4 linked regions of the Notamacropus eugenii genome follow. The protein of the gene in region 1 interacts with the protein of each later gene in a pairwise test. Links are inferred from orthologs where the notes say so. Each region holds a gene or a part of one and is shown in the gene's direction. Other genes may lie near its edges. The genes, in order: MEOX2, CSF2, IGFN1 and RPL15.

Region 1 (7,277 bases):
TACACTTTCTTAGTCTCTCTCTAACTCAATTTCAGTCTTTCTTTTCTTTTTAATTACACAGAACTTCAATCTGGTGGGTTGTGATGGTGCTGCCTATGTAGGGTGCGAGGCTGCAACACTTGGCTACTTAAAGAAACAATCTTCCCCACGTTCAAGATCGCTGGGATTCTTTTTCTAACAAGGTCAGCGGTTTGAAATCGTCATGTAAACAAAGCATCTCGTGACGTACCAGATGATGGTCTCCGAGCTTTGTTAAATAAATAAATAAAGTTGTTGGCCTGTGATCTCCTTTTGTGATTTTGTCAGGGAAGTGCAGAAACAAAGGGAACTGAGTGCATTAAAAAGCTTCGATTGCTGCAGCAATCCTTACCACAGCTTTCTTTTCCCAAGCTTACGAAGCACTTTCCTTTTTGGCAGGAAATGCCAGCGTTACCGCTATCCTACAGACGAGGAAACTGAGGCTCAGAGATTTTTATTTTTTCTTTTCAATTAATATTTACAGAAAACTTACAATTTCCATGCCCATATTTATGCCAGTCTCCGTAGCGTGACTTTGCAGAAACAGTCACAACATGGGAGCCAAAAAATAAATAAATAAATCAAGCATCCTATCATTTCAAAATTAATAGAAGTGATCGGGAACTTCACACAGCTCTCAGACACTGAAAGGGATACCTTAGCCATTCGAGTGGAATTTTATCATTCTGCTTTGCTTTCTGTAACTGATGGAGAGAGGGAAAATAGAAAGTACGGCTGTGCGTCTCTTCTTTCTCCCTTACTCTTGATTGTATTTACATACATGCATACATACATGCATACTATATAAGACCCACAAAGAAAGATTTCTCCGAATGGGGAAATTACGAGATAACCAAAAATCAAAAGATTTTACTTCCAAACATGATCAATTTTTAAAAGTGACATTAAAAAAATCATGCTCCTATTTATGTGTATATATGCGCGCATATGCACATCTGTATTTATATTTAGTATTTTCTCCAGGAAACGATGAAATTCATTTCAAGTTCAGTTTCCTGTAACTTGTGGAAAAGGACCTGCGTGCATTTCTCCTGTAAGAGCCTTCTAGCCTTCCTAGAAAGCTAACTTACGCGTGGAGAGGTGGTCCTGAATATCTCTCGAGTTCCCCACACCTTCACCTTAAGCTTTGGACTGGGAGAGTGTCTCGCTCCTTTGATTCTCTCTCTCTCTCTCTCTCTCTCTCTCTCTCTCTCTCTCTCTCTCTCTCTCTCTCTCTCTCTCTCTCTCTCTCTGTCTGTCTCTCTCTCTCTCTGTCTCTCTGTGTCTCTGTCTCTCTCTCTCTCTCTCTCTCTCTCTCTCTCTCTCTCTCTCTCTCTCTCTCTCTCTCTCTCTCTCTCTCTCTCTCTCTCTCTCCCTCCCTCCCTCCCTCCCTTTCCAGCCTCTTCGCCAGCTGCTTCTAACGACTGATTGACAGGGGCAGGTTGGTTGAGAATTTCAGGACCCTATCATAGGCCATCCATTAACACCTGATCCAGGAGACCGACAGAAGAGAAGTCAGCTCAGTACTAGGACAGTCGAGAGGAGAAATTAGTCAAGCAGGCGTCTCTTGGTGCTAATTGACTAGGTTTACCTGAAATACAGTTGTTCTAGGAGGACCTAACTCTCCAGCATGAGAACTCTCTGGTTTGAACCCTGGGGCATACGAGCTAGTCTCTTTCTTCTCAGCGCTCCCAGAGCTCAACACAGCTCTCAACCGGTGCGGATCCGATTCAGTCTCCCTGGGATTGAAGAGTACCAAGTGGGAAGTCGCGATTTCCCAATGTTCTTGGTGCCGCGCGGGGATTGGGGTGCCAAGCTTTCTCTTGACCACCTTCTTAATTCCTCCCCACCCCCCTGCCTTTGCCCACAGGCTAGCTAGGGCTAACCAAGCTCAGAGTCCTGGTGAGCTTGTTTTCCTTTGTACTTTAAGGTTTAATATCAGAGCCCATATTGAAACCATAAACACACGGAGAAATCAGACAAATATTCCACCCCGATGGTAACCGAACCGCCCCCTCCCTTTCCTTCATACGCTGGGCCCAGCCCATAGTCCCCTCTCCCCTCAGAAGGGAGTAGTAGGTACCCCTCCACCCTTGCCATGCTTTTGGGAGAGTAGAGGGCCTCATCACGAGGAAGGGTCTCCCTCAGATCAGTCAGGGCCCGTCTGGCTTACCGTTGGTCCCTGGCCGTCTACAGCTCCCTGTTCTCACCAACACTGCCCTAAAGAGCAGGGCAGGCAGGCAGGCAGCTGGTGGACAAAAGTTTTCGGTTTTTTTTTTTTAAACCAAAGTCTGCAAAACTAATTTCCCTCAGAATAGGGCTCAATTTCCGTTTAAGAAAACAGCTCTCACAAATCGTAGAATTCCTGGTCCCCCCCCCCCCCCCACCCCAGCCAAGGATAATAATTTTATCTTTCACATGGTTCTGAGGTTGTGTGGCCATCGGCAGCCCACAAATTGTCCCAGGGATTAAAAGGTAAAAGGGGCGTAAACAGGAGTGAGGGAGTACAGGGATGGAACAAGTCGGGCTTCAGTGAAGTTTAGGGAACCCCCTGAGTGGATGGTAGAGAGTATTCCTAACAAAAGCCGCATGTCCGCTCTATCGTAGTGTCTCTTCTTTCCTCTTCAAAGATTCTGGGTCCATCACTATTCGGGAGGGACACTTGAGACAACGAGAATACTGAGGCCCTCACGTTCTTTCCTGAGACTGCCGTCAGGCTCAGATCTTGGGAAGGAGCCCAGATAGGGAAGAGTATTTACAGCTCGGATTAGGGTCTGACATACTTCTACAGACTCTTCCCACCCAGTCTGTGACCTTTATGAATCCATTGCCCTGTCTCAGTCCTTAAAGGGGAGGTTAGCACCCAGAAGTGGTGGTGGTAGATCAGAGAAGTGTCTAGGGTGTGTTCATGGGTTATTTGCCTCCCTCCCCCCACCCCACCCCACGCACACACACTAGAAGAAAATTCCCATCCAACTTCCCGCAAAGGTAAGTTTCTAAGGCTGAATGGACCAGACGACCTCTGAGTTTCTTGCAACTTGGAAAATGAAAAATAAAAATTGGTCAGGTAGAAAACATCTGTATCCTCAGCTCCCGAGAAGGAGCGGCCAACCGCCCCCCCCCCTCCCCAATCCCTCCTTGGGGAGCCGAGGGAGTGGAGTCTCGGCGTTCTCCATATACCAAACCCGAGTTTGAAGGTTTGTGAGTTTTCTTCAGAGTAGGGTGGGATAAAAAGGGAGAAACCTCTCCTGAGGCATTGAGCTGAGTCTGGGGATACTATAAACACATCTCTGCACTGAGGACTAGTTGATTTCTGATTCTTCTAGAGAATTCAGGCAAACGGATCAAAAAAAGACCTTCGCACAAAGGGCTGTTTGTCTCAGCCCGGTGTGGGACTGCAGGTGAGGTTGCTGGTGGTTTGGGATCAGGCTGACTCCGCCTAAGGTTCACTTCCTCCCTCTCCCACCCGGTTCCTCAGCCTCTTTTCCCCTTGAGATAGGAGTCTATTTCCGCCAGAAGTCCAGTCAACCCCGCAACTTCAGACAGGGCTGCTACTCTGTGACCCATCAACTATACGCCCCTCTGACCCCAGAAAAAGGAGAGTATGGCACGGTTCCCGCGACCCCTCCGGGGAGCAGCATCTGCCCCAGCTTCTGGCTCCGCCTGCAGAACTAGGGCACTGCCAGGTTGTCGGCTCCTACCCTAGCGCAGCTACACAGCTTCTCCCAGCGGCGCCTATTTGCAGATGTGCATGCAGATGTGCATGAATAGCAACAATGTTTCCAACAAAGTAACAAATAAGCAGAAACAAAATTTCCCCGGAAAGAACAAAGTGGAACTTTGCACCAGTTTTTCGTGGGCTCGTACGCTCAGGATCCGAGAGCGGGTGGGCGTGAGAATGGGTGTGCGCCTGTGTGTGGGTGTGTAAGTGTGGGTGTATGTGTGTGCGAATATATGTGAGTGTTTGCATGTGTATATGAATGTATGTATAGGGGCGCTCCCCTGGGGCCGTCTATCAAAACTACAGTCCCCCCCCTTTCCCTGGGGGCCCAGCTAGGTGTGCCACCCAGGAGCTACCCGGGCTGGGGGAGGTGGACAGAGGAGGCTCGAGGAACCCAGGCTGGGCGGCGGCGGCGGAGCCGGCGGGGAGCGGAGCGGCAGTTTGGGAGGGAGTCCGCATGTGGTCAGCGCGGGGTTCCTAAGCCAGCCCCCAGCTCACATTACACTCTATTTATAACCTCCCGGAGCCGTTTCCCCCTCGCAGGCAGGCAGCATTCTCTGGGACCACCTTCTCTTGGCTTCCACCTTTCTCCTCCTCTTCCTCCTCCTCCTCGTCCCCCTCCTCCTTCTCGTCCTCCTCCCCCTCCTCCCCTTGACATCCGAGCGTCCGAAAGCAGCAGCGCAGCGGGAGGATTCCTCCTCCTTCCCTCTCTTTCTCTTGCTTCTTCCCGGGGCTGGCGCAGCCGGCGGCCGGCCGGTCCGACAGACGCACCGCCGGACTCAGCCCTCCAGAGTTCTCTTGTCCCGTCGCAGCCGGGCAGGCCGGGGCCAAGCGGGACAGCCCGAGGCCGGACCGGAGGCTGCGGCTCTGAGCACATTGCTGGTTTACCCAGGACAGCGGAGGTGGAGGCGTCCGTCCGCAAGCTCCCGCCGCCGGGCAGCAGCCGCGCCTCGCATGCTATGGAGCACCCGCTCTTCGGCTGCCTGCGCAGTCCGCACGGCACAGCGCAGGGCCTGCACCCTTTCTCGCAGTCATCCCTGGCCCTCCACGGCCGCTCGGACCACATGTCCTACCCAGAGCTCTCGCCCTCCGCCTCGTCGTGCATAATCACTGGCTACGCCAACGAGGAGGGCATGTTCGCCAGCCAGCACCACCCGCGCGGCCACCACCACCACCACCATCACCACCACCATCACCCCCAGGCACCCCCGCCGCCTCCACCACCGCCACCTCCGCCTCAGCATCAGGCTTTGCAGGGAAGCTGGCACCTCCCGCCCCTGGCTTCGCCGCCCGCCGCCGCCCGCCACAGCCTGTGCCTACAACCAGACGCCGGCGGAGGCCCGGAGCTGGGCGGCAGTGCCCAGGGTTTGTGCGCCTCGTCCGGCAGCTTGGGGGCCAGCACGCCCACGGGAGCGGCGTGCGCGCCAGGGGACTACGGGCGCCAGGCGCTGTCACCCGGGGACGCGGAGAAGAGGGCGGGTAAGAGGAAGAGTGACAGTTCAGGTAAGGAGCCGTCGGGGGGCTCAGGGCGATTCCTCGCTGGGAGTGGGCTAGGCCAGCTGCCTAGTGGACCGGCACCGCCAGCGTGGGCAACTGGGCTCATTTCCAGAGGGAGAGGCTCAGCGCGCGCGCGCATACACACACACACAAATCACACAGAGACTAGCACACAGGTACCAACAGACAGAAGAGTACCCTGACGGACGCATTCAGAGACATACAAGTGACTAGCTATAGAGACTGATGCGCAGACCCATACACGCTCAGGTGTCTGGGCACTGACAGGCAGGTTCTCTGACACACACAGGAGGACAGGACATACGCAGAGACAGTCACAGATGCATAGACGAACAGTCACATACACACAAGAACGTGTGACGTATTTATTGAGTGTTGAAAGCGCGGTAGACTTGCAGCCAATGAGTATAATGGAACTTCTCTCAACTTCGCGAGGCCATGGTCAGAACTCCTCGAGCCTTTCCCGCTATCTAGGATTATGTGGAGACGCTCGCTGCAGTACCCTTGGCTACGTAGACTGAGGCAGGGACTCTGCTGGCATCTGGGGCTTAGGGGAAACTCGAGAGCACGTGACAGCGCCTACTCTCAGTTGCTCAGTTAGCATTTTCTCTAGGCTAAAAAGGGAGATTTGTGGAACAGAGTCTCTGTTTCGCTTTTGCTGGTGCCGGGCCCTTAGTGGGGCTGCCTCGGACTCACTCGGCAGTCACCAGCCAGCCCTTCCTCCCCCTTTTCCTATACTTAACTGGATTTCCAAATTCTTGTGCAATCTTTGGAACCTTTGCAGTAGAACCTGGCAAAGTTCATGAGAAAAAAAACAAACATATATCCTTTATTCTGAATAAAGAATATTTTAAATAATCCAAGATTCCTAAAGTGAAAAAGTGGGGATCCCTGAGAATTGGGGAGTAAGGGGCAATTTCCAAAGTCTGAAGTTTGCACTTGAGTCTATATGTAAAGGACGCCCTTTGTGGATTTCCAAAAAGTAGTTGCCCAGTTAACTAATCGTGTATTGGGGGAAAAATGTTTCTTAATATTGGTCGCTATTAAGGGGGTGCTTTCTGGAGCACGAAATTCTCGTATCCGCAACAGGGAAAGTTGTTTCCCAAGTGGTGAGAACCCAGAAGACAAACAGAGGGGGTCTTGTCCAAAAGCTGAGAGTGTTGCCACATGCCGATTTACCCAGGGTTCAGGAAAACAAAACAAAACAAAACAAAACAAAAAACAAAAAACAAATCCAAGCCTGAGGCACTCAAGGTTGCTCCGATGGGGAAGCCGTAGCAAAGAGATTTGGAAATCTGATCTGTCAGACAGGAAAAGGGCAAGGCGAAGTATCTCTAACTCTTTGTAAAGATTCACCGCTGAATTCACAGCACCAGAGCCAGCGAGAAAACTAGTAAGCGATCTTTGGGTAAGGCATTCTTGGAGTATTTCCGGTAGCAAGCCTAGGCACCTTATTTTCTTCTTGAATCTAAGGACTGCCATGATGTTTTTGTTTTTTTTTAAACAATCATTTGGTAAATGTATCCCACCCCCCTCATTTTATGGGTTATCAGCTTTAAAAAAATTACCAAAACTATAGTAAAGTCAAAGTGACTTGAGATCTTGGGCTTAAAGTGTTTTATGTGGGATCCGAATGTTCTTCAGCATTAGGCTTGAAGGAGACTTTTTCAAGGAGGCTGTGAGGCAGATGTAAATCATCCTGTCACAACTTCACAATCTAGCCCCTTCTTTTGAGTGTTAGGAGTGAACATAGCCTTCCCACATCAGGGCTTCTTTATCCAAGAAGAAAAAAAATCCATTTTCTCATACATTATTGGTGGACTGGACAAATCAGGTGTAATGTTCTTAAAATGGTGACAAATAATAATATTAATCAAACCTACTGTTATACCTATTTCCTTGGACATGGGGAGAAGGCAGGCACCTTCAAAGTCCAGACATTATAGAATTTGTAAAAGTCTCTTATGAACACAATATTTTATATCGCTGTAAGTGAAAGACATTTTAGGTCACATATTTA
Region 2 (7,535 bases), on another chromosome or scaffold:
ATGGAATTTCCTTTTCAAAAAATCCACTGAATCAATCAACAAAAATGAATAGCCAGTCAAGGTATAAACTATTTTTCTACTGACTAATAACAAATGCTATGTTAAATGCATTTAAAGTGAAATGGAATATATTGCTTTGTTTTGAACAATATTTATATATAAACTTTTATAAGGAAAAATATCTCTTCAGATGTCACTTTTCTCCTCTTTACCACTGAAACACCAGTCGTACTCTCACAGAACCTCTACTAAACAAATGAGCAGTGTTGCCCACCAGTTCATTTGAAAATCTACCAGATAGAAGATTAGCAAAATAAGAGGAAAGTAAATTTATATCAGAAAATAGCCTTAATTTTGCAAAGAGAGGAAATAAAAGGTTTCAAGACGGCTTGTTATGTGTATAACCAGTGTTCATGTTTTTTTTAAAATAGCCTGATCTTTATGTCTCAAGAGCCCAAACATTCATAACATCTTGATCATGTTTTTACATAGCTGATGAGGTTATCATTATTGTGTAACAGAGGGGAATGCCCTGTACAGAACGGAAATGATGAGTTGCTCATATGTTTGACCATCCATTGGGAATCAGTTTGCACTTAAATATTGAAACCTTGCAGTGGTTTGGAAACAATTTGGTGACAGGTGAAGAAACTTTAAGAACATGTTGAACTTACCCAGAAGTAATCAGAGTTTCATGTAATCACTGCACAGACATCAAAATTGTTGTGCTTCTGATCATGACAGTTTTGATTGCTTCCAGAAATAAACATATAATTCTTCAAATGTGCACATGCTTATTGTCATAGAGGAAAACTATATTTGTGACATAATCGTATAATTATTTACTGATTAATATGCCATTAAAATTTTATATACACATATACATATACATGCAGAAAGATGGACAGACAGACAGACAGATAGAGAGAGAGAGAGAGACAGACAGACAGACAGACAGACAGACAGACAGACAGACAGATAGATAGATAGATAGATAGATAGATAGATAGACAGACAGACAATCAGAAAAACAAAATACATCAATATGTCTAGAACTTGCAATTTCACTGGTGTGGGAACTCCTTTTGCTAAAACAGATGGTGGTTCATCTAGTATTGTAGTCTTTGGGAATTGCCTGAGGCTAATAAAAAATAAACAGCATAAACAAAAATAGCAAAATCAGATAAAAGTATAGTCAAAAAAGAGATCAGAAGGGAACACAGCACGTTACAGGCTCATACAAACCCCTTCATGTTATAGGTGAAAAAAATGATTCCTAAAGTGGTTCAGTGACTTGATCAAAGTTACACAAGTAACAAATGGAAGAGTTAAAATGTGAACCCAGATCATATGATTCCAAATCCAGAATCTCTGCACTGTTCCATGTTGATTCAGACAACGTTATGGGATTTCTAAAAGTTTGCCTATCATTTTCCTTTTATCAAAATGTAAATAGTTCAGAGTTTATGGCTTTATGGATTATTTTATTCCTCACTTTTTTATTTATTTAATTTTTCAATTTTTGTTTCTGGTTATTAATTTCATAACAAAATTATTATTAAAAAGACTTGTACAAGTTGCCACACTTCAGCAGGAATGTGACCTAATTCTAACTGTTCTCTTTGTAGGATGTGAAGACAATGGATGACTTACAGTTTCACTGGGAAAATTCTGGGCTTTTCACATTACTTAGATTTTCCACTAGATGCACACATTCTGCACGTCATGCGATGGATGCTCTTCCGGTCTGCAGAGGACTCTAATCAACCTCAGCAAATTCCTGCTTTCCGAAAATCCCTTGGAGACTGAATTTCCTACCAAAAAAATGAGGATTCAATGTATATAGACAGTCAGCATCATGTTTTCAGTGACAATTCTCTCAGAAAGATAGATAACAACCCTAGGAGTTCTAATAGTTGGAAAGAAAAGTAAGAGCCAGTTGGAAGAAACTTTGCAAGAGCCCATCCTAAAACAAATTAGGTTTTTTTAATTTTTTACTTTAAGGAGACCATTCAGACCCTTTCACTTCTGACCTATCCTCTAAGATGCTGGGCAAAAGGAGTCATCTCAAACTTTCATTTATATTTCACTAGTAAACGTTCTTTGTTGACTCAGCGATAACAGCAGAGCCATTGGGCGAGTAGTCGACCACTATCTTGATAGCATCAGTCTCATTTTCTGTGGTTATTGCAATCTAAGAATGTTCTCATGTGTCACTGGGACACAGTGAGCAAGTGTCATCTTTCCAATAAGAAAGACCTGCTCATCGCTAACCTCCTCCTGATAGTGGTAGTAGTAGTAGTAGTAGTAGTAGTAGTAGCAGTAGTAGCAGTAGTTGTGTGTGTGTGTGTGTGTGTGTGTGTGTGTGTGTGTGTGTGTGTGTGTGTGTGTGTGTGTGTGTGTGAAGGTGACTTCCAGTCGCCTTCTCTATCTTAAAATCTCTATCCAGATTATGGGTGCTGAAGCCCCTTCAGAAAGACAGGAAATCTGGCTTCCTGGAACTGGTTGCTAGAAGGCCACACCTCACCATTCCCACTTGCCCACCACACAATGAATGCTTTTAGAAATACTTTTCCTGGAAGCTTTGGCCGTGATGAGTTGAAGTTCATGTACTACTCCCCTGCCTTTAGATTCTCAGGCATTTCTGAGGCCACATATCCCATTTCCCCTGCCTCCAGGCAGCTCTACACTGAAAACATTTTCTCCAGGAAAGAGAATGAGATAGGAGAGCAGGAACCCCATGGGAAACAACACAGATGAGTAACCTGTGGGAATTAGTTCACTTTAATCCCTTTGGTGTGAGCCTTACTAGGAATCCAGTCCTTTGTTCTTCCTCTTTTCTCAGTTTTCTGTTTAGAGAGGGCCCCTTTGCTCTCTGTTGGTTCTTTAGAAGGTCCAAATCAAGACTGCAGCCTTAATTAGAAAGATGTTACTATTCATTTAAAGGAGGAACCAACCCATGGGCAGCAAGTCCAAAATTAAACCAAGTCTTTGACCAGCCAGGTCAAAACATACACACACCTACTTCAGAAGCCCTGGGGCTCACTCTTTTGGTCAAGTGGCTGGAAGTAGAGGTCTGTGGAAGCAGGAACTGTTTCTGTAAAGGTATCTGGCATGCTCTGAGTGCTCACCAAGTGTTTAGTTTTCATAATGTCATTTGAGAAATTCTGTGCACGTTTATGTCTGCTTTAAAAGAAACCAGGCTAGTCTGTGCTGCTGATAGCAGTGAATATGGTAGGAGTGAGTAAATATGATCCCAGATTTCCTCATAATCTATCAACAGTCTGGGGTTTAGGCTGGCAAGAGCACAAGGATGAGTATACAGTAGGGATTCAGTAAATTCTCACTCCAAGACTCAGGCAGATCAGTACAATAACTAACCAGAACTCTCAAGCTCCCATGCTTTGTCACAACTTACCTTCTTGCAGGCACTCAGGGGCTTTTGAAAACACAGGCACCTGTAAAGGATGGGATTGGAAGAATTATTACCTCATTCCCCAAACAAAGAAATAGGAGATTGTTTCATAGTCTGTTTCCTTTGCACTGCTCAGGAGGTCACAGTCGAGAAAAGCAATCAGACTCTGGTTCTGTAGACTCCCAGGATGGCCAGAGTTGGAGAGCTGGGGCCAAGAAATGCAGTCCTATTAGCTGTTACTTGGAAAGAATCTCAAATATACATAAGGACTGAATTGTTATTGCTCTGTAATCTTAGTAGTGTCTGATTCCTTGTGACCCTATTTGGGGTTTCCTTGGAGAAGATGCTGGAGTGGTTGGTCATTTCCTTCTCCAGCTCATTTTACAGATGAGGAAGCTGGGGCAAACAGGGTTAAGTGACTTGCCCAGGTTCACACAGTATCTGAGAGCAGATTTGAACCCAGGAAGAAGAGTTTTCCTGACTCCAGAACCAGCACTTTATTGACACTGCACCACCTGGTTGATAAAACTGTAATGCTAACATACGCACACATGTGTGCACACACATGTGTTTACATGTGGTTTTCCTGGCATAATGAAAGTTCTTTGAAGGCAGAGACAGGTTAATGTCTTTGTATCCCCAGTATGTAGTACAGGATAGGTGCTTAATAAATGTTTGTTGAATGATTAATTCTCTGATACTATCATTAATCTCAAGAATTCCAGGGCAGGGAATAGAAAGATTTCTAGATATAGAACTAAATTGGGGTTCAAATATCAACTCTTCTAATTATGTGTGCTTAGGGAAATCCCTTCCCTTCTTTAAATCTCAGTTTTCTCATCTGTAAAATGGAAAAAAAAAAAAAAAGATCTTTTAAGGACTTTTCCAGTTCTAGATACCAAACTGATAGTTCATTCAGACTTTGGAAATCACCCTGAGCCAAGCAGGCAGGTGTAGTAGCCAAGCCTCTGTAGCCTGGGGCCACTTCTCCCTAGGGCCTGGCAATCTCTCTATCAGACTGGTTTTGTCAGGGGCTTCTAGTTATTGAAAGCGATCTCTCAATAAAATTCCCAAATGTAATACTGGTGTGTAAATGGGTGTTTGAGGATCTCATGGGTAACAGTGATGTGATAAGAAGCCGGAGATTCCATCCCTCAGGTAGTTTCCCCTGCCTCCTTCGGTTTGTTTGTGGTCAACATTAATCATTTCCTCTAACTGCATATAAGAGCTTCTCAGCCCCTGATCAGCCCAGTTCAGAGCTGAAGCTTGAAACGAAAAACTACAATGCAAAAGTTCTTCCACCTTCTGCTCTTCTCTGCTTTGATCCCTTCTGCCAGCTTGGCGCCCACCACCCCAAAGTCAAGGGAACCTGACCTGGAGACTCTCATTGCTCAAACTCTGGAATTATCACGTAATATCACTACAGAGCCAGGAAAGGTAAGTGACTCACAGGTGACTTGGCTTCAACCTTTGCTCTGCAGAAGTTAATCTGCCCGTTTCTTCAAATGTGAGCTAATCATCTGCTTTCTCTTCTTCAGGATAGAGAGGTGAAGATTGTTTCAGAGGAATTCAACAGGCAGGTAAGATGCACTCCGCTACACCTATCTATACATCTGCCTTTCTAAAGGAAATTATTTAAAGGATTCTTGTCCCAGCCCTCTGCAGTCAGATCAGTTACCATTTAAGATAAGATGTAGCAGGCAGCTAGTGTGTAGCTGGCTTGTAACTTACATGACTCACCAGCATTAGTATTTCTGTTTATTTGAAGGGTTTTGAACACTATACCTTCCTTCTTCCCCTGCTCCCTCCTTTGCTACTGCCCCAAGGGGGATTATTAGAGCCAAAAGTTAAGTGCCAAAACCAGAAACTATTTTATGTGCCAGCGACCCTAGGTCTCTACTACAGCTTGATTACTCTCAGTCATAGTTTCTCAGATATCACAGTCAAAGAGGACAAATGACAGCAGGGGAAGGAGGAACCAGACAGTGGCTCCCACAGTCTCCTGAAAGAGTCCGTGTTTCTCAAGACCAACAATCTCTGAGCTCCTCCTTCAGTCTCCTAGCATAGGTCCTTGTTAACACAGGGTCCCCTCTCCTAGAAAAATGAGCATTGGTTTTGGAACCAGAAATCCAATTGGCTTTGTTATTGGGCAAGTCTGCTTGGTGTCTCACTTTTCTTAGTCATAAAATAGTTTCTTTTGCAAATAATAATAGTCCCCAGTGGGATAGTACTTAAAATTTCATAGAGCATTTGCCAAATAATCCTGTGAGATGGAAAGTGTAGATATTATTATCCCTGTTTATAGGTGAGGAAACTGAGGTTCACAGAGGATAAGTGACTTGCTCAGGATCATATAGCTATGATACATCAGAGCTGAGGGTAGAATAGGGATATTGTAAGGATTAGATGAGATCATTGCTGAATAGAACTTTGTGTACTATTTAATGCCTCATTAAGCTATCATTCTTATGCTGAGGTTAGAACTTGGGGGACAGAACTCCTAATTTTCCATCTCAGAGTCTTTTCCCCCAGGTCCCAGAGATATCGAACTATAGTTAGCTGGCAGCTCACAACAGAAAACTGAGTTATAAAAGGCAGTGGGATGTAGCAGCTAAAGCATTGAATTAGAGTCAGAAAAACCTGGATTTGAATCCTTCCTCAGATAATTACTAGCTATGTGACCTTGGGTTAGTCATTTAATATCTCTTGGCACCAGTTTCCTCATCTATAAAATGAGAAATGACCTCTAAGGTCTTATTCTACCCTAAATCTATGAATGCTCCTCTAACAATGAGTAGCCAGGAAAATCACATTAATTCCAGGTGATTGTTCTATGCTTTTTCCATGCTTGGGTTATGCTGCGGCATCATATCCTTGAGCATCAAGGGCGGCAGCTCACATCAGTTCTGTGGGCACACATATTTGACTAGACCGCTGACTGTGGGAGAAAAAAGCATGGTTGGCATAATGACTGGATAGGTGTGATATCCAGAACATGGGAGCAGCTAGGCAATGATCTCTGTTGGGTCTCATGAACAACATGCACTTACCATCTCCTTCCCAGAATCTCCTAGAATAATCTGGGATGTGGGCAAACCTGGTGAGAACATGGGAACTTTCTAAATGCTTTGGAGAATTCAGTACTACTATTGAAAACAAGTTAATGTGCAGAAAGTGTCAGAGAAGAACAAGTCATTGTAGAGTGTGCTGTGGTGGTCTCAGACTTTGACAATTTATATGTCTCACTTTGTAATACAAAGAACACAGGATGTGAAGTAAGATTTTAGATCAAATCAGGATCTGCTACTTTAATCTCATGTGACCCTAGGCAAGTTAATTAATTGGTTTCCATTTTCTTATCTGTAAAATGAAGGGGTGTGAATAGTTGTGAAAGGTCTCCTCCAACTCTAAGTCCTATGATCTTAGAAGCTCTACTGCTACAGGAATCCCTCATGCTATAATTGGAAAGAACTCAGCCCCAACCTCTGTGGATCTGTTGTAGTGACAAAACATAACAATTTTAGCTTGGAGTTGGGCTACGATCCCATTGACTCAGACACACTTACTCAACAAACTGACTTTTCTTTCAGGAGCCCAAATGCATACAGACACATATAAAGACTTTTTCTGATGGTTTACATGCAAGTGATCAAGCAATCAAGAAAAACCTAGAGGAGATTGCTACCCGCTTCAATGCATCTTCATGTCCCTCACTCGATGTAAGTTTTCTCTGTTACAGAATGTTCTCTGTTTTAATGATGTGATGTGGAAATGGTCAGGTTTGCTTTTCATTGCTACCAAATCCTTGTATAGACCAGGAAAGATCACATTTGAGAGCAGGTTAAAGCAACAAGGAGATATGTATCTATGTAGAAACACACATTTTAAGTATATACATGCATTGTATAAATAATTTACACAATATATACGTTTCTATAATTATACTTTTGCATATTTCAAGTATAAACACCCATATATGTGTATGTATGTTTTAAGAACAAATTATTTCCATGGTGTATGTATATATTAAAATATGTAACAGCAGAGTATATTGAAAGTTAGACTTAAAATCAGGAAAATCTAGATTCAGAACCTACCTCTGACACTAGCTGTGTGACAC
Region 3 (7,157 bases), on another chromosome or scaffold:
CCATGACACGTCAAAAAAGCCCCTTTTCCTAGATCCTCCCAATTTTGACTACTGAGGGGAAGAGAAGGAAATAAGACAGAGCCTTGTGAATGGTCCCAGCGAGAGATAACAAGTCTTGGCTTCTGCAGTGCTGGGGAGGCAAGTCTGTACCCAGAGGTGTGGAATGCTAACATCTGATCCAGTGCTCAGAGGAAGAAGGAGCGGTGGTTTGGACAGCTTTGTGTGTGGCCAAGGCAGAGCGAGACACTTCATCAAGCCATGGCCACAATAGCTAATCAGGGAGGGACCTCCTCCTAGAGCTTACATTTTTTGGCTTTGATGGAATCTGCCAGGAACAGGAAGAAACTAGCAAATGGAAAAGGATCTCGGACCATCAGGAGACCTGAGTTCTAGTCCTACTGTTAATTTGTCACAATCTATTTGAGGCTCAGTGATGCTGTTCCAAGAGGAAATATGGCCTAGTGGATAAATTATGTGCTGGGCTTGGAGTCGGGAAGACTTGGGTTATTAGTTGTATGACTTTGGGTAAGTCACTTAGTATCTGTAAGCCTCAGTTTCCTCATATGTAAAATGAGGTATAAAAATAACTATAATACCTACCCACAGAGTTGTTATGAAGTTCAAATGACATAATGTATGTAACATACCTTGCAAATCTTAAAATGCTTTGCAAATGACAGTTGTTATTGTCCATAGAGGATTCAAAGCTGGAAGGAGTATTAAAGATCCTTGAGGCCTACCATCTCCTTACAGATAAAGGAACAGAGGCCCGGAGAAATGAACAGATCTGCTCATGGAGTGACAGAGTAAGGATCTGAACCCAGAACTTCTGACTTCTAGTGTTTTTTCAACTACGCTAACCAGCTTTGACAGTTTGTGAGCTTATAAGTATCAAAAGGAATAATGCAAATGAAAATGCTTTGAAAAAAAGTCAAAGAATTGTCCTATTTTCTTCCCTTCACCCTCCCCCTATCTCAGAGAATACTCTGCTCCCCCAACTTTCCCAATCTCAGTCTAAATGTAGCACCACAGACTTAAATTTAATAACCGGCCATTTGCCAAACAGCAGCTAGGGGGTAAGGCAGACAGAGTGTTGGGCCTAAAATCAGGAAAACTCATCTTTCTGAGTTCAAATCTGGCCTCAGATACTTACTAGCTGTGTGACCCTGGGCAAGTCCCTTAACCCTGACTGCCTCAGTTTCCTCATCTATAAAAATGAGCTGGAGAAAGAAATGTGGCAAACCACTCTAATATCTCTGCCAAGAAAAGTCCAAATAGGGTCATGGAGAGTTGGACACAGCTGAAATGATTCAACAACAACGAAATCACCAAACCACTTCTTTTGGGAGACAGGGAACCCAGGCCCCATTTTTGATGATAGAGTGACTCAATAGAGCTTACTTCCTCAATCTCTCCAAGAAATAGCTGTTTCCCCAGAGATCTATGAAAAAACAGTTTCCAAAAGATCTACAATTAATCTTCGACCCTAGATGTGGCTGATGAGTGGCAGAGTTACAATCTAACTCAGAGGCCATCTAATGCAACCCATAGTTAAACAGCAATGTCCTCTAAGCATTCCTGGCAAGTAGTGGCCTCGGCTCCATCTGAAGCCCTAAAGGACAGGCACACTGATGAATTCCTGAGGAAGCCCCTGTGAGGAATGATGACTGAACTGAGTAGTGCCTTACCAGTCTTTCTGTGACACATTCTGGTTGTAAATGTGTCCACTGATGTTACGATACGGTGGGCAGATACATTTGCACCGGATGTCTTCGGAGCTCTGGAAGAGAACAGGAAACGAAGATCAGGTTGGGAGGCAGGGCACCAACTCCTAGCAAAAGCCCCTGCCTTGTGACTCCCCTATCAAGCCTTGTTAAGCACTTCCTGTGTCTCAGACACTGTGTTAACAGCTTTAGAATGATCTCATTCAAGCCACAACTACTCTGGCAGTTGGGTATTATTATCCTCATTTTAGAGTTGAGGAAAATGAGGCAGACAGAGGTAAATAACTTGTCCAGGGTTATACAGTTAGTAAAGGTCTGAGGCTAATTTGAACTCAGATTTTTCCTATTCTGCTCTATTCTCACCATCTACCTGCCTAACAAGCATTTATTAAGTGCTGACTATGTGCCAGGAACTGGGGAAATAAAGGGAAAAACCAAGGTCTTCTTAGCAAAGCTTTCTCTCTGACTCAGAATTAAGGCTGCACTTTTCTTTAATACTCATCAAATTTGATTTTGCATCTTCATCTTTCCTGGACCTAGACTCAGCTAGCAACAGCCTCCTGTCCTGAAAGAAAGCTGCAGGCTTGAGCACTGGAACAGAGCAAGACACTTAGAGCCTAATCTTGGCTCTGCCACTACATAGCTGTGTCCCTGAGAAAATCCCTTAACTTCTCCAGGTCTTAGTTTCCATATCTGTAAAATGAAGAAACTAGACAATCTCTAAAGTCCTTTCCTGCCTAAGATATGTGGTTCTAAGTGGGACAGCTAAGCGGTGCAGCAGATAGAGCAAGGGCCTTCAGTCAGAAAGACCTGAGTTCAAATCCAACCTCAGATATTTACTAGCTATGTGATCCTGGGCAAGTCACTTGACTCTGTTTGCCTCAGTTTCCTCATCTGTATAATGAGTTGGAGAAGGAAATGACAAATCACTCCAGTATCTCTGCCAAGAAAACCCTCAATAGGGTCACAAAAAGTCAGACACCACTGAACAGCAATAGGGGTTGCCTTTCTCTAGGGGTCTGGAGAAAGAATGCCTAGGTCTGTGAACTCTGGAGTGGAGTGGAGTGGAGGTATGATAATTTCACAATGAGGTAAACTGAGGCAAAGCCACAGAAAGGATGCTTGCCCCTTGACACATCTCTATCCTGGTCTTCATAACAACAACAGTAAAAAACAAGACTGACTTTTTCACAGCACTTTAAAGTTTGTAAGCACTTGACATTATCTCATCTGAGCATCTGAGGATTCTGAGGAACAAGTACTACAGGTCTCCACCTCCCAATTTTATGATAAAGAAAGCAAAAGTTAGAGTTAAGTAATCCATAGCAGTCAGAGACAGCATTCCAACCCAGGTCTTTCTGACTTCTTGTATGTCCTCTAATCTAATCACTCAACAAGCCATTTATTCAGTACCTCCTTTGTGCCAGGAATTGTGTTAGGTGATCACTGGGAATGATTAAAAGTACAATAAATTAAACAATGTCATTGAGTCTTTTTAGACTCTTCATGACCCCATTGAGGTCATTTTACTTCCAGATGAGGAAACTGAGGCAAACAGAGTTAGGTGCCTTGCCCAGGGTCACTCAGCTGCTGTCTGAGGCTGGATTTGAACTAGGAAAGATGAGTCTTCTTGACTCCAGGCAAGACATTTTATCCACAGTGCTACTTATCTGCCCCAAATGACACAATACCTATGCACAAGAATTTACTCTAGAATGGAAATGACAACCAGGATATATATAAGTATATGCAGAATACAAAGGAATAAACACAAAATTAGATACAAGGCAGGGACCAGAGAAAAAAAAAAACTTCTCACACCAGGGATTCTACTATCACTCTACCTCTGTTATAGCTCCCTGAGGGCAACGGCTGTGTCTCATTGAATTATTGCAGCTTCTCCAGCCCCCAGTACATTACCCTGTAAACAGTATGTCCTTGATAAGCATCTATTGAACCGACGACCAAGACAAAAATGTTCATTTATTAACCGAAACACAGGATCAGAGAATTAATATTCCATTTTAAGGTTTATAAAGCATTCTCCTAGCAACAATTCTTTGGGGGCAGGGGGAGAGCAATTTCTCTCATTTTGTAATCTGAGGAAACTGAGGCTATGAGAAGCAGAAGCCAGTGGGATTTAGGGCCGAAATTCAAGTCTTCTGACTCTAAGAGGACCGGACCACGAGACCTGGCGTAGATCTCCCGAATCCCCAAAGTACAGAGGGACTTACAGGTACTTTTAGGGAGGGCCAAGTCTGCGCTAGGTTCTGGCCGCCGCTACGTAAACCAGCAAAGCCAAACCTCCCCATCTGCCCAGACCATAGCGCTCACCTTGCCGGCCTGAGCTGGGGGGATGGCCAGACAGCAGGCCAGCGCCACCAGGGGAAAGAGCTTCATGCTTGTCAAGGCTCGCTGGGTCAGCATGACCAGTCACCTGGAAGAGAGACAAGGAGCTGGGGAAGAGGGAAGTGAAAAGCGGGAAGTGAAGTCGACATTCACGTTTTCCCCCAAGTCCCCAAAGCCCGAGTGACTGCACCCTGCTCGACTCGGCTCGGAGGCAGGACGCCTGGGTTCTTTTCTTAGATAAGTGACCCCTTTCTGGGTCTCAGGTCCCCCCGATCGTCAGAACGGGAGAGAATAATTGCTGGGGGAGGCCCCCGACTCCTATCTCTACGGTGCTTCGAGTTCCTCGGGCAGCGCGGATCCAGGCTGACAGCGCTCCGCCCGGACCCCCGGGCGCACCGCGGCGGCGGCCCCGGTGCCCCTACCCCCCGCTGTGCGCTTCCCGTCCGAGCGCCTGCATCCCTGTGCATCCTGTCCGCATCCCGGTCCCCACTCTCCGCCCCAAGCTGCTCCAGCCTCTGCTCCCCGGCGCAGGCCCGGAGCCCCGGCAACCCTCTCCAGCCCCGTCTGAGGCCAGCTCTAGCAGTCAGAGCCCCCCGCGCCCGGCAGAGACGGGCCGGAGCCGCCCGCACCCCACCCCAGGCCCCGGGGCCCCGAGCCCCCGAGCCCCCGCGCCCCTCCCCCAGCAGTCCTGCGGCGAACCTCCGAACCTCTCCACATCAGCACCGGGCCCAGCACGGCCCCGCCCCACTGCAGCTCCTATTGGCTCTTGGAGGTGCCCTTCTCCCCGACTCAGGCTGTCTCCACGGCAACAAAGACCCGCCTTCTTGGGGGGGGCGTTTGGAAGGTACTGCCAGGGATCGGAGGGCATTTCTTAACCCCAAATGGGCAAGAAAAGGGAGCGTCGCCGAACGAAGGGCAGAAAAACCGAAGTCCAGAACTGGAAAGGTCTATAGAACATCCACAGATTGAGAACTGGAAGGTGCCTGGCGTCACCTTGCCCACCTGAAACTCGAGTCCACCCTCCAGCCTCTCAAGGCACGCGGTCCTCCTGCGTAGAGAAAAGAGTGCAGGATCTCAGGTCTTTGGAGCTCTCTGCGCAGCCTTCGGCAAGTCACCGCCGCGGCAGGTTTGGGGAGAGGTTTGGATGAGAAGGTTTTCTGAGTTCTCCTCCAGCGTTCAGCAGACCTCGGACCCTCTGATCCAAACTGCGCGCTTCCACTGCCGGCGAGATCATCCAGTTTCTGTCAAAATGCTTTCCGATTTTTCCAGCCATTTTTGTCAGAGTCCTTACCCCCAGTAGGGGGTGTCCTTGCATTTTGCAAGAATTAGGCCACTGTGTTTAATTGTTTTTGTTTTTTTGCAGATTAAGTACAGAGAGAATGACTTATCCAGGGTCATTAGACAATAAGTATCAGGGGTGGGATTCCTAACCAGCTCCTGCTGATGTAAGATATAGGAGGCCTTCCACGTTGCCTCTAGAGTTTGAGGAGCTTTAAAACTAACTCTCTTGGCAGGCAGTGTGCCCTGACATCTCTCTGCCCTACTTCCCACCCTACACCCATCTCAGCCCAATTTAGAGGTGTATTAATGCTATTCAGAAGTACGGGGCTACCTGATGGACTTTTAAAAGGTGGCATGCATTCATTCTTTTAAAAAACTACTTATCAAGAGCCTATTGGGGCCTCAGGGTGTGCATCACCTGCTCCGTGACTCCCAATTAGTTTATGATTCAGTAAATTGTGAGCGGCTTGAGGGTAAGAACTGTTTTGAATATCTGTTGCAGTGCTGTTGGCTCCTTGTTTTTGTTTTCAGTGCAAACCCATAATTCATCATTGTAGGGAACTTCTCCAAGGCAGCTCACTGCACTGAGGTCCTACTTATCACTGCCCATGGTTAGAGTCTCTGAGAGGTAAGGGGATGTGCCCCTTGTCACATAGTTAGTATTCAACAATGGTGGAATGTGAAACTGACTTCAAGGACATTTTTCTGTTGGCTATGCTGGATACCTGGCACACAGGAGGTACCTGATAAATGTCTGTTGATTCAATTGAATTCCAAACCTGAAGGCCCAGGCTAGGTTCTACAGGTAGCAGTAGGAAGTACCCTTGTGACCAGCATTACTGCTTTTGAGGTCTCTGTGCCGAGAGAATCAAGTGGCCAGCTAGAGCACTAGGCTCAAACCTCTCCACCCACATCCTCTGCAAATTTTCAAGGCACAGAGATTGGAGCACTAAGTAAAGTGAGCTGGAGAAAGAATGATAAACCACTCCTGTATCTTTGCCAAGAAAACCCCAAATGTGGTCACAGAGTTGGATAAGACTGAAATGACTGAACAACAACAACATATAAATTATTATTAGTCTCCTTTTATAATGTATTTACCTCTAGAGAATATATTTTGTATATCATTCCCTGAAGAATCTTAGAATGTTAGAGCTAAAAGTGGCTATAGATATCTAGTCCAATCCTTTTATTTTATAGGTGGGTTGATACCTTATCACTTTCCTGTGAATCACTTTATTATTTTTGTGAGTATGAATTACTTGAAAAGAGGAAGAAGAAAAAGGAGAAGAAGAAGAGGAAGAGGAGGAGAAGAAGATGAAGAGGAAGAAGAAGGAGAAGAAGAGGAAAAAGAGAAGAGGAAGATGAAGAAGAAAAAAGGAAGAGAAGAAGAAGAGGAGGAGAAGAAGAAGTTCTTCCTATACCTGTCCAAGGGAGTAGCTACTTGGCACAGTGGATAGGGTCTTCCTGACTCTAAACCTGGTACTCTCTCCACTGTGCCACCTAGTTACTCCTACGCATCTAAACCAAAGTATTAAAATACTTGGTAATAAGGTAGCTATTCCTCATATATTCAAAGTTGTCAAGGGAAATATTAAAGATTTTATCTTTATCATATGCCAAATGTAATATATGCTATATATAATGTCCACTGCACATATATGACACCTCATATATACTATAATAATAAGAGTTCTTAATGCGAGTTCCAAGAACTTGTTTGTAAAAGAACTTTGATAGCTCTGTTTCACTAAAATCAATATTAAAGCTTTGTAATCCCATGCATTTGAGTTAGGCATTTAA
Region 4 (7,748 bases), about 22 Mb from region 1:
CACTATTAAAAGAAATTCCTCCTTGATTCCCTCAGTAAAAGGTAGGCTTTCAAAATATTAAATATGACATAGAGACCACAAGTTTAAACTTTTTTTGGAGTAACACCTCACTTGTTTGAAAGACACCCAATTAGGCAACCTTAATTGTCTAGACTCTAGAACGGGAGCTGAATCTGGAAACAGCAGAAAATGCCAATGAGCAGCTGAAATCACTATCATAAAAACCCCATATACTTTTACTTTGTAGCAGAGGTATCCAGGATTTATTGATTCCTGCTGCATACACAATTCCAACTAGTTTGGTTATTTAGATCTCCAGACCACAGCAGATGGATGGGTATAACAGCAAGAACAGGAAAAGTTGGCAGAAACAAGAAATTGCAGCTTACAAAGCGTGAAAGCTACAAAGCCTATAAAAAGCCAATTTCCAATCAAATGCATTTTGATTATTTAAAATTTGGGTATTTGAGAGGGATTACGTTGCTCAAAAGATGCTCAAAAGGATCGCTCATGACAATAAATAAGGCACTTTAGCCTAGAAGTCAGAGCTGGCTTCAAGGTCTACCAGCAGTGCCATCACTTAAAGTCTCCAAGACTTCGACTGTGGAATGGACATAGATCTGCCTTGAGAGTTTCACCCCAACTGAAGCCCCTTCCTGCCCCTGGGGGAAAAGAAAAGGGCACCCCTGGCACAGTTCTCCACCACTACAAAAGGAATGACAGAAATATCTTTGTACTTGTGGGTCCTTTTCTCTTTTCTGGATGGTTTTGGGTTAGGTGACTCTTGGGCATAATGACAAAAAAGGTCTAATAACAGCATCAGTGTGCTTGCTTTGCTCCATCTTCCCTAACATGTCATTTTCCTTGTTTGTGTCTTTGCCAATACAACAGCTATAAGCCAAGGTATAACTTCAGAGTTGCTTTAATTTAACTTCTCAGAACACTTTGATTTGTAGTATTTTTTCCTACAGCTGTTGATAGCGTGCATTTATTCCTTGGAGAACAGCCTGTTCATATTATTTGACCACTGGGGGAAATGGCCTAACTCTTAAACATTTCCATCAATTCCTTATAGATCACAGAAATGAGATCTTTAGAGAAATTAGCTGCATAGATTTTTTTCCCCCAGTTAACTGTTTCCCTTTTAAACTTTAGGTAATAAAATCAAGATATATGAATATCTTGGAATATTATGCCATAAGAAATGTAAATGAGAAAAGTAAGCAAAAAAAGCAAAGAAAGCAAACACATACATTTTTGGATGCTATGGAACGGTGCCTCACTCTGCAGAGATATAGATATAGCAATGATTCTTTTTTTTCTTTTTAATTAGGGGTGGGAAGGAGAGAAAATAAATACTTATTAAATGAAAAATAAAATTTTAACAAGTCGTAAAAGCAATTTCCTCATTGGGAATTCCCAAATTCAGAAGCACTGGATTAAAAGTCACTGGGAAATGTTTAACAAAATAAATCAAAATACAATATAATGTTAACTTGTGATTTTCTAAGTCAATATACAGCCCACAGGCGGCAGCTAGGTGGTGCAGCGGATAGAGCACCAGTGCAGGAGTGAAGAGGACCTGAGTTCAAATCTCACCTCAGACACTTGACACTCACTAGCTGTGTGACCTTGGGCAAGTCACTTAACCCCAATTGCCTCATCCTGGGTCATCTCCAGTCATCCTGATAATGAATATCTGGTCACTGGATTCAGATGGCTCTGGAGGAGAAGTGAGGCTAGTGATCTGCACAGCCCTCCCTTACTCAAAACAAAGTCAAGTGCAAGTCATGTCGTCATTTTTCTGATAGCATAGTCTTTTTTGGCAATGAAGAACGAACACACATACAGCCTACAGGGATCTGATTCTGTTTGAATCCACGATCCCATTCTCTCCTCCTCCCCATTCCCCTCAAAAAAACCTACAATAGCTATACTTAGCATTTATAGGTTTTAAGGTTTGCAAAAGCTTTACATATATTACCTAACTTGATGCCAGTAACACCACTGGGGAAAAGGCAGCATAAGTACTACAGTTATCAGCATCTTTTAGAAAATACGATGAGTTTCCCAAGGATTGAATGGCTGATTCGGAGCCCCCAGTAAGGGAGAGAGCTGCGGCACAATGAAGAAGGAACTTGCTGGGCAGTGTAAAGATCCTGAGATTTCTGGCTCTTGCTCCTTAAATTACTTCCTGACTCTGGGTGAGCCATCCCCATGCTGGGCCTCAGTTTCCTCAACTTTAAATCTCATCCTCTACCCTAAGTGGCAGAGCCAGGTCTGGAACCCAAGGAAGCCACATGTGGCCTGGAAGCTGCAGGTTCTGCACCCCTGCACTTTTCCATGGGGAGGAAGGAAGTCACGGGCCTCCATCAAAGTAATGCATCCAGGGGAAGAGTGGTTGGGGAAATAAAGAGAGAATGCTGGTCATGCAAAAACCAAGAGTCAAGGAGACATTTTAAAAACAAAGGCAGAAGCACACTCAGAAAGGAATAGGGACAAGCCTGGCTGTGTTGGGTCCACCAGACTTTAGAAAGAACAAACTCTAAGAGACCCTAGTTCGTACACAATCTTCTTGTTCTATTCTTTGTATCCAGAAACATTCATGTTTGGTTGGATACAGTGTCCACAATCTATCAGGTGAAACTGACGCGGGAGCTCCTGCTGACGCTAACTGACCTGCGCTCTGGATCGCACAAGGCGATCACGCCAAGCACTCATCTCCGGTACTCTAACTGCGGAAGCCACGCTCACTAGGCTGGCATCATTCTTAAGGACTCCACATTTAACATAGCCCTCTAACACGAAACTTTAAAACCTTTAAATTCTAAAAAGCCTCCAATGGGCCTCATCTTCACGGAACCACGGGCTCCAGAGCTGGCTGAGGCCTCGGAGTCCGCGGCCCTCCGCCTCCCGGTCTGCCCCCCGGCTCTGCCCTCCCACGCCACGCAGTCCTGCGGCTCGGAGGGTGGGGAGGTCTGGGGCAGAGGCCCACGCTGCGGGACGGCTCCGGCCCGCCGCCACGCTCTCCCGCCCGCCTCGTTCCGGCCCTTCTTTAAACACAAACACGTCCCGTGGGTTGTTTAACGGGGCCAGACAAGACTGACAACCCAAAAGCCCAGCTCCTGAGGGATGCGGGGAGGTTTTATACCTGGCGTGTGCGTGCACGGATCGTGGGAAGCGAGCCTGGCGCCGCCCCGGGCAGTCCCCCTGCCCTGAACCCCAGCGCCTCCCACACAAGGGGCTGGCTCCGAGCCCCCGGGGCCCCGCGTGACTGTGGCTGAAACCCCGAGCGCCGTCCATCCTTCGGCGACCGTGCGTCCGACCCCGGCCGTCCTTATTTCACGTGATGCTCACAGCCCCCGGCGGGGGAGGCCCTCTTATGGTCCCCATTGTACAGATGAGGAAACTGAGGCAGAAAGGCCAAAGGGACATGCCCCGGTCGCGCTTCTGGAGGGTCCGGCTGACTCCGGGTCCCGCGCTCCTTTAGCCAGTGACCTAAAGAACTGAACTCTCCCAAGATCAGGGGGAGTCGGGAGGCAGAGGCGGGACTCGAAGCCAGGCCCGCGCCGTGGGCGCTCCTAGGCAGGGGAAGGGGGCAGCCCCACGAGCAGATCCCCCGGTCCACCGGAGGGGTGAGGAGCGCCCCGCCCCCAGCCCCTGGCCCGCGGGGAGGGAGATGCTGGGAGAGCCCTTCCGGCGGTGGGGGGCAGAGGGGGACGGGAGGGAGCGAGAGACGGTGGCCCGGCAGGGTCACGACTGTCAGAGGTCTTCGCACCAAATTCACCCCCTCCCCCCACCTGTACCCCGTTACCCGATCCTCCCGAGAGGAGCTTGGGGGTGGGGCGGAAGAAACGGGGCTCACCCTGCCCCAACAAGGGAGAAACGTCGTCTTCCCACCCCTTCTACAGGCCGAGGGAAGCACGCTCAGCTCCCTGCGTTACCTGCCGAGAGAAGAGCCGAGCCGGGGAAGCTGCGCACGCGCCCTCGCACCCTCTCGCCAGCGCAGTCCGTGTTCGCCTGCCCCTCCCCCGCCCCAGAGCGATCCTTAGGTCAGGCTCCTGGCTGGCCGTCCGGAGCGGCGCCGAGCATCCTGCAACCACCCAGGGAACGGCAGAGCATGGGCGGTGCAGGACGCCCCCCTGGAAGAGAAGCGTGCGCGGCAGGCACTGCCATTCCCGGCTCCTCCCCTTCGTGTAGGCCGAGCCTCCGTCCCGCCCCCTCCGAGGCCGCCAGGATACCCGCCGGAAGGACTACGATTCCCATAAGGCCGTGCGCCCGCGCAGTGCCTGAGCCGGAAAGGGGTTCTGTGGTGAGGAAGAGGCCATAAAGCATTGTGGGAAGGCAGACTCTTCCTTTCCGGTCGGCGGCAGCCATCAGGCAGGTAGGGATTGTGTGTGTCGTTGGGACCATCCGCCCGTAATCTGCCCTTTGCTTGGGCCATCCGAGCCCGGGCCCCATGCGCCCGGGGGCCTTGGCCCGTGTGCCGCGCGATGCGGGCTCTGGTCGGGGCCCGGGACAGCGGGAGCGGGGAGAGGACGCCCCGGGTTCGAAGCGGAGGGCAGACTGGACCAGAGTCAGGGAGGTGACGCGGCTGGCCGCCGACTCCCAGCCCTCAGCCAGGGCCGCCGGCCCGGGCCCGGCAGACTGGGCCCTGCGGCCGGCGAGTCTTCCGGGGACGCGGTTATGAGGCGGGCGCGCTCTCTTGCAGGCTAGGCGTGAGCCAGGATGGGGGCCTACAAGTACATCCAGGAGCTGTGGAGGAAGAAGCAGTCGGATGTCATGCGGTTCCTACTGCGCGTGCGCTGCTGGCAGTACCGCCAGCTGTCTGCGCTGCACCGCGCGCCGCGGCCCACGCGACCCGACAAGGCCCGCAGGCTGGGCTACAAGGCCAAGCAAGGTGCGGGGCGAGCGCAGGAGGGGCGCGGGGCGGGGCGGGCTCCGTATTTCGTTAGGCTTATTTTCCTTCCTGGTCCTGGGTTAGGGGCACTTCCCACTAGAAGCAGGAGAACCCCTGCTGTGTCCTAATGCAGCCTCGGCCCGCAGGCCGCACGTGGAGCTTCGGGCACTTGACTTCCTGGGCATGATTGTGTGTTGTCTGCCTGCGCAGCCCGCAGGAAAGCCCTGTACAAGCTCAGGGATTCTGCGCTCAGAGGAGAGCTTTGGGGATAGTTTGGGGTCTGACGTGTAATATAATTGACTCGTGAGTTTGAAGCATCCACGTCTCTATTTGGGGGGGGGGGTTACGGACAGTTGTATTTGATAGCTAAAGCTTGTAGACAGAAAAAACTTGTGTTCGTTTTAGGTTACGTCATCTACCGAATTCGTGTCCGCCGTGGTGGGCGAAAGCGCCCAGTTCCCAAGGGTGCGACCTATGGTAAACCTGTGCATCATGGTGTCAATCAGCTGAAGTTTGCCAGGAGCCTTCAGTCTGTGGCAGAAGTAAGATTTGTTTTCTCTTTTTAAAATGGTGCTTTTAGAGATGAGAAACAGTGTGGTGTGATGGAATAATCCTGTTCAAGTGAGGCAGAGCACCTAGGCTTGGGTCTGTCTAAGCCCTGGCATGAGCTGTGCGACCCTGAACTTACTCTGAGTCTCAGAGGTTGTCACTTGCTTTTTTATTGGGCAAGCTCAGAACTAAAATTGCCATTAAAATATCTTTCGAAAGAAATGACATAGAATTTGGGTACTGAAGGATAATATATGGGTGTGGCTGGTTGGGTCAAAGGTGCTTAATTAGGGGTAGTGAATTGGATGAGGGAGAAAATTAAATCTTTATTTTCAGTGACCTTTGCTTAAAATTAGCATTTCCTTCCATTAGAAATGTAGACGATAAAACATTCTGAGAAGTCATCCATAGACTTCTCCAGACTGCTAAAAGTGTTAAACATGTCACAGAAAAGGTTGAGAAACCCTTAGATTTTCCTGAGAAAAGGTGTGTACCTAGTGTTTTCCTTCTGTTGATTTTCAATTTATCTTATATATATCTTGTGCATAGTTTGTCCCTCTCATTGGACTGAGCTTGAGACCAACAACAGTTTTAGGGGGTTGGGTTTTTGTGGAGTTTTGTTTTTTTGTTTGTTTTTTGCCTTTCTTTGTATCCCTAGTGCTTAGCACATGGAAAGTACATAGGAGATGCTTAATAGTGTTTATTGACTGTTGAGAAGAGATAAATTGTTATTCATGTTAAACTTTAACATCAATCTGACTAATTGGAAGGATTGTTAATGCATGATGGGGTGAGTGGAACCTAAACAGTTAAAGGCACATTTATAATTTATTCATAAGATCAGGGGGGCAGCCAGGTGGTGCAGTGGATAGAGAACCAGTGCAGGAGTCAGGAGGACCTGAGTTCAAATCTCACCTCAGACACTTGACACTCACTAGCTGTGTGACCTTGGGCAAGTCACTTAACCCAAATTGCCTCCTTCTGGGTCATCTCCAGTTATCCTGATGAATATCTGGTCACTGGATTCAGATGGCTGTGGAGAAGTGAGGCTGGTGACCTGCACAGCCCTCCCTCACTCCAAACAAAATCAAGTGCAAGTCATGTCATTGTTTCTCTGATGGCATGGTCTTCGTTGGCAACAAAGGACGAACACACACACACATAAGCTCAGGAGTGGGAACTCAGTAAATATAATGGCTCTTAATTTGATACTTGAACAGAACTTTGCAAAAACAGAACTAATTGGACTGCAGAAACCTTAGGCATTATTTTGGTGGTACTTTGAAAAGCTGTAATGACCAAAAGAGCTTAATTCTAACCATACCCTTATCCCCTTAGATGGTAAACTTGAGGGCAGAGGCAGACTGTTGTTCTGTAGGCATTTAGTATGTATTTATTGATTGTAGTTTAATTACTAAGAGTTAAAAACAGATTATACTCAAAAAATTTTTTTTGTTTTCAATTGGGTAGAGTTGGATGTATTAACAGCAGGCATTTGTTGTAGGTCTATATTCATTTTGTTATATGTAAAGGTGGAAAACCATTAATTTTTTTTCTTCAATTACTGTAAAACCCACCCTCACCATACACATTCAGTAGCTTCACTAATTTTTCCTACAGGATCTGGTTTTGTGAGTTTATGAACTGCACTCAGCAGACCCTAAGTCCTTTATGCATCTGTTAATTATTTTGAACCGAATTTTGTTCTAAGCCTTGGAGATGACACAACAGGTCAGTCCTGCCCTCAAGGAACTTAGATTGAAAATAAGTTTAGAGGGAATCTGGGCCAGAAAAAGGAGAAGCAGGTAGAGTCAACACACTCTTTTCCCTAGCAATGGTAGTGTTGATTAAATTTCCCCCACCTGAAATGGGGAGGGAGTAGGGCTGATGGCAAGAAAATAAGATTAAGGTGACCCAGGGTCATACCCCTAAGTGTTAGGAACCAAGTTCAAACCAAATCATCATTGACATGTTCTAAACAATCCCAGAGGCATTTGGTAATTTGAAGCCAGTTTTCTAGCCTGGGAACCTAGAAACAGGTAGGGGATAGAGGATATAGAACTCTGGGCCTGGAGTCAGGAAAATCAGAGTTCAAATCTGACTTCAGACATTTCCTATCTCTGTGACCCTGGGTAAGTCATTTAATTTTCCCCTGCCTCAGTTTCCTCAGCTCTCAAATGGAAATCATAATAGCTACTTCCCAGAGCTGCTGTGAGGATCAAATGAGATATGGCATATCTAATAAGCACATTGGATGGTGCTTACTCTCCTCCTTTGGTATTTTGCATAATTTTCCCTA

Evidence for each region.
Region 2: the proteins of MEOX2 (region 1) and CSF2 interact in binary tests that used the Homo sapiens proteins (3 or more experiments, as listed by UniProt). The two-hybrid records come from large-scale screens. The link is inferred for Notamacropus eugenii from reciprocal best matches to the Homo sapiens genes MEOX2 and CSF2.
Region 3: the proteins of MEOX2 (region 1) and IGFN1 interact in binary tests that used the Homo sapiens proteins (3 or more experiments, as listed by UniProt). The two-hybrid records come from large-scale screens. The link is inferred for Notamacropus eugenii from reciprocal best matches to the Homo sapiens genes MEOX2 and IGFN1.
Region 4: the proteins of MEOX2 (region 1) and RPL15 interact in binary tests that used the Homo sapiens proteins (3 or more experiments, as listed by UniProt). The two-hybrid records come from large-scale screens. The link is inferred for Notamacropus eugenii from reciprocal best matches to the Homo sapiens genes MEOX2 and RPL15.

Annotation. Positions count from the first base shown.
Region 1 is NC_092874.1:8,791,188-8,798,464, reverse strand, and holds the start of MEOX2 (homeobox protein MOX-2), read left to right. Parts: upstream 1-4,269; 5' UTR 4,270-4,698; coding exon 4,699-5,242; intron 5,243-7,277. UniProt on the Homo sapiens protein: Mesodermal transcription factor that plays a key role in somitogenesis and somitogenesis and limb muscle differentiation. Required during limb development for normal appendicular muscle formation and for the normal regulation of myogenic genes.
Region 2 is NC_092872.1:344,048,833-344,056,367, forward strand, and holds the start of CSF2 (granulocyte-macrophage colony-stimulating factor), read left to right. Parts: upstream 1-4,518; 5' UTR 4,519-4,699; coding exon 4,700-4,852; intron 4,853-4,953; coding exon 4,954-4,995; intron 4,996-7,005; coding exon 7,006-7,134; intron 7,135-7,535. UniProt on the Homo sapiens protein: Cytokine that stimulates the growth and differentiation of hematopoietic precursor cells from various lineages, including granulocytes, macrophages, eosinophils and erythrocytes.
Region 3 is NC_092873.1:439,459,237-439,466,393, reverse strand, and holds the start of IGFN1 (immunoglobulin-like and fibronectin type III domain-containing protein 1), read left to right. Parts: upstream 1-4,149; coding exon 4,150-4,253; intron 4,254-4,336; coding exon 4,337-4,917; exon of another isoform or gene 4,918-5,105; intron 5,106-7,157. Other genes in the region: proton-transporting V-type ATPase complex assembly regulator TMEM9, read right to left, coding at 1,689-1,780, 4,059-4,151.
Region 4 is NC_092874.1:30,595,574-30,603,321, reverse strand, and holds the start of RPL15 (large ribosomal subunit protein eL15), read left to right. Parts: upstream 1-4,728; coding exon 4,729-4,900; intron 4,901-5,305; coding exon 5,306-5,442; intron 5,443-7,748.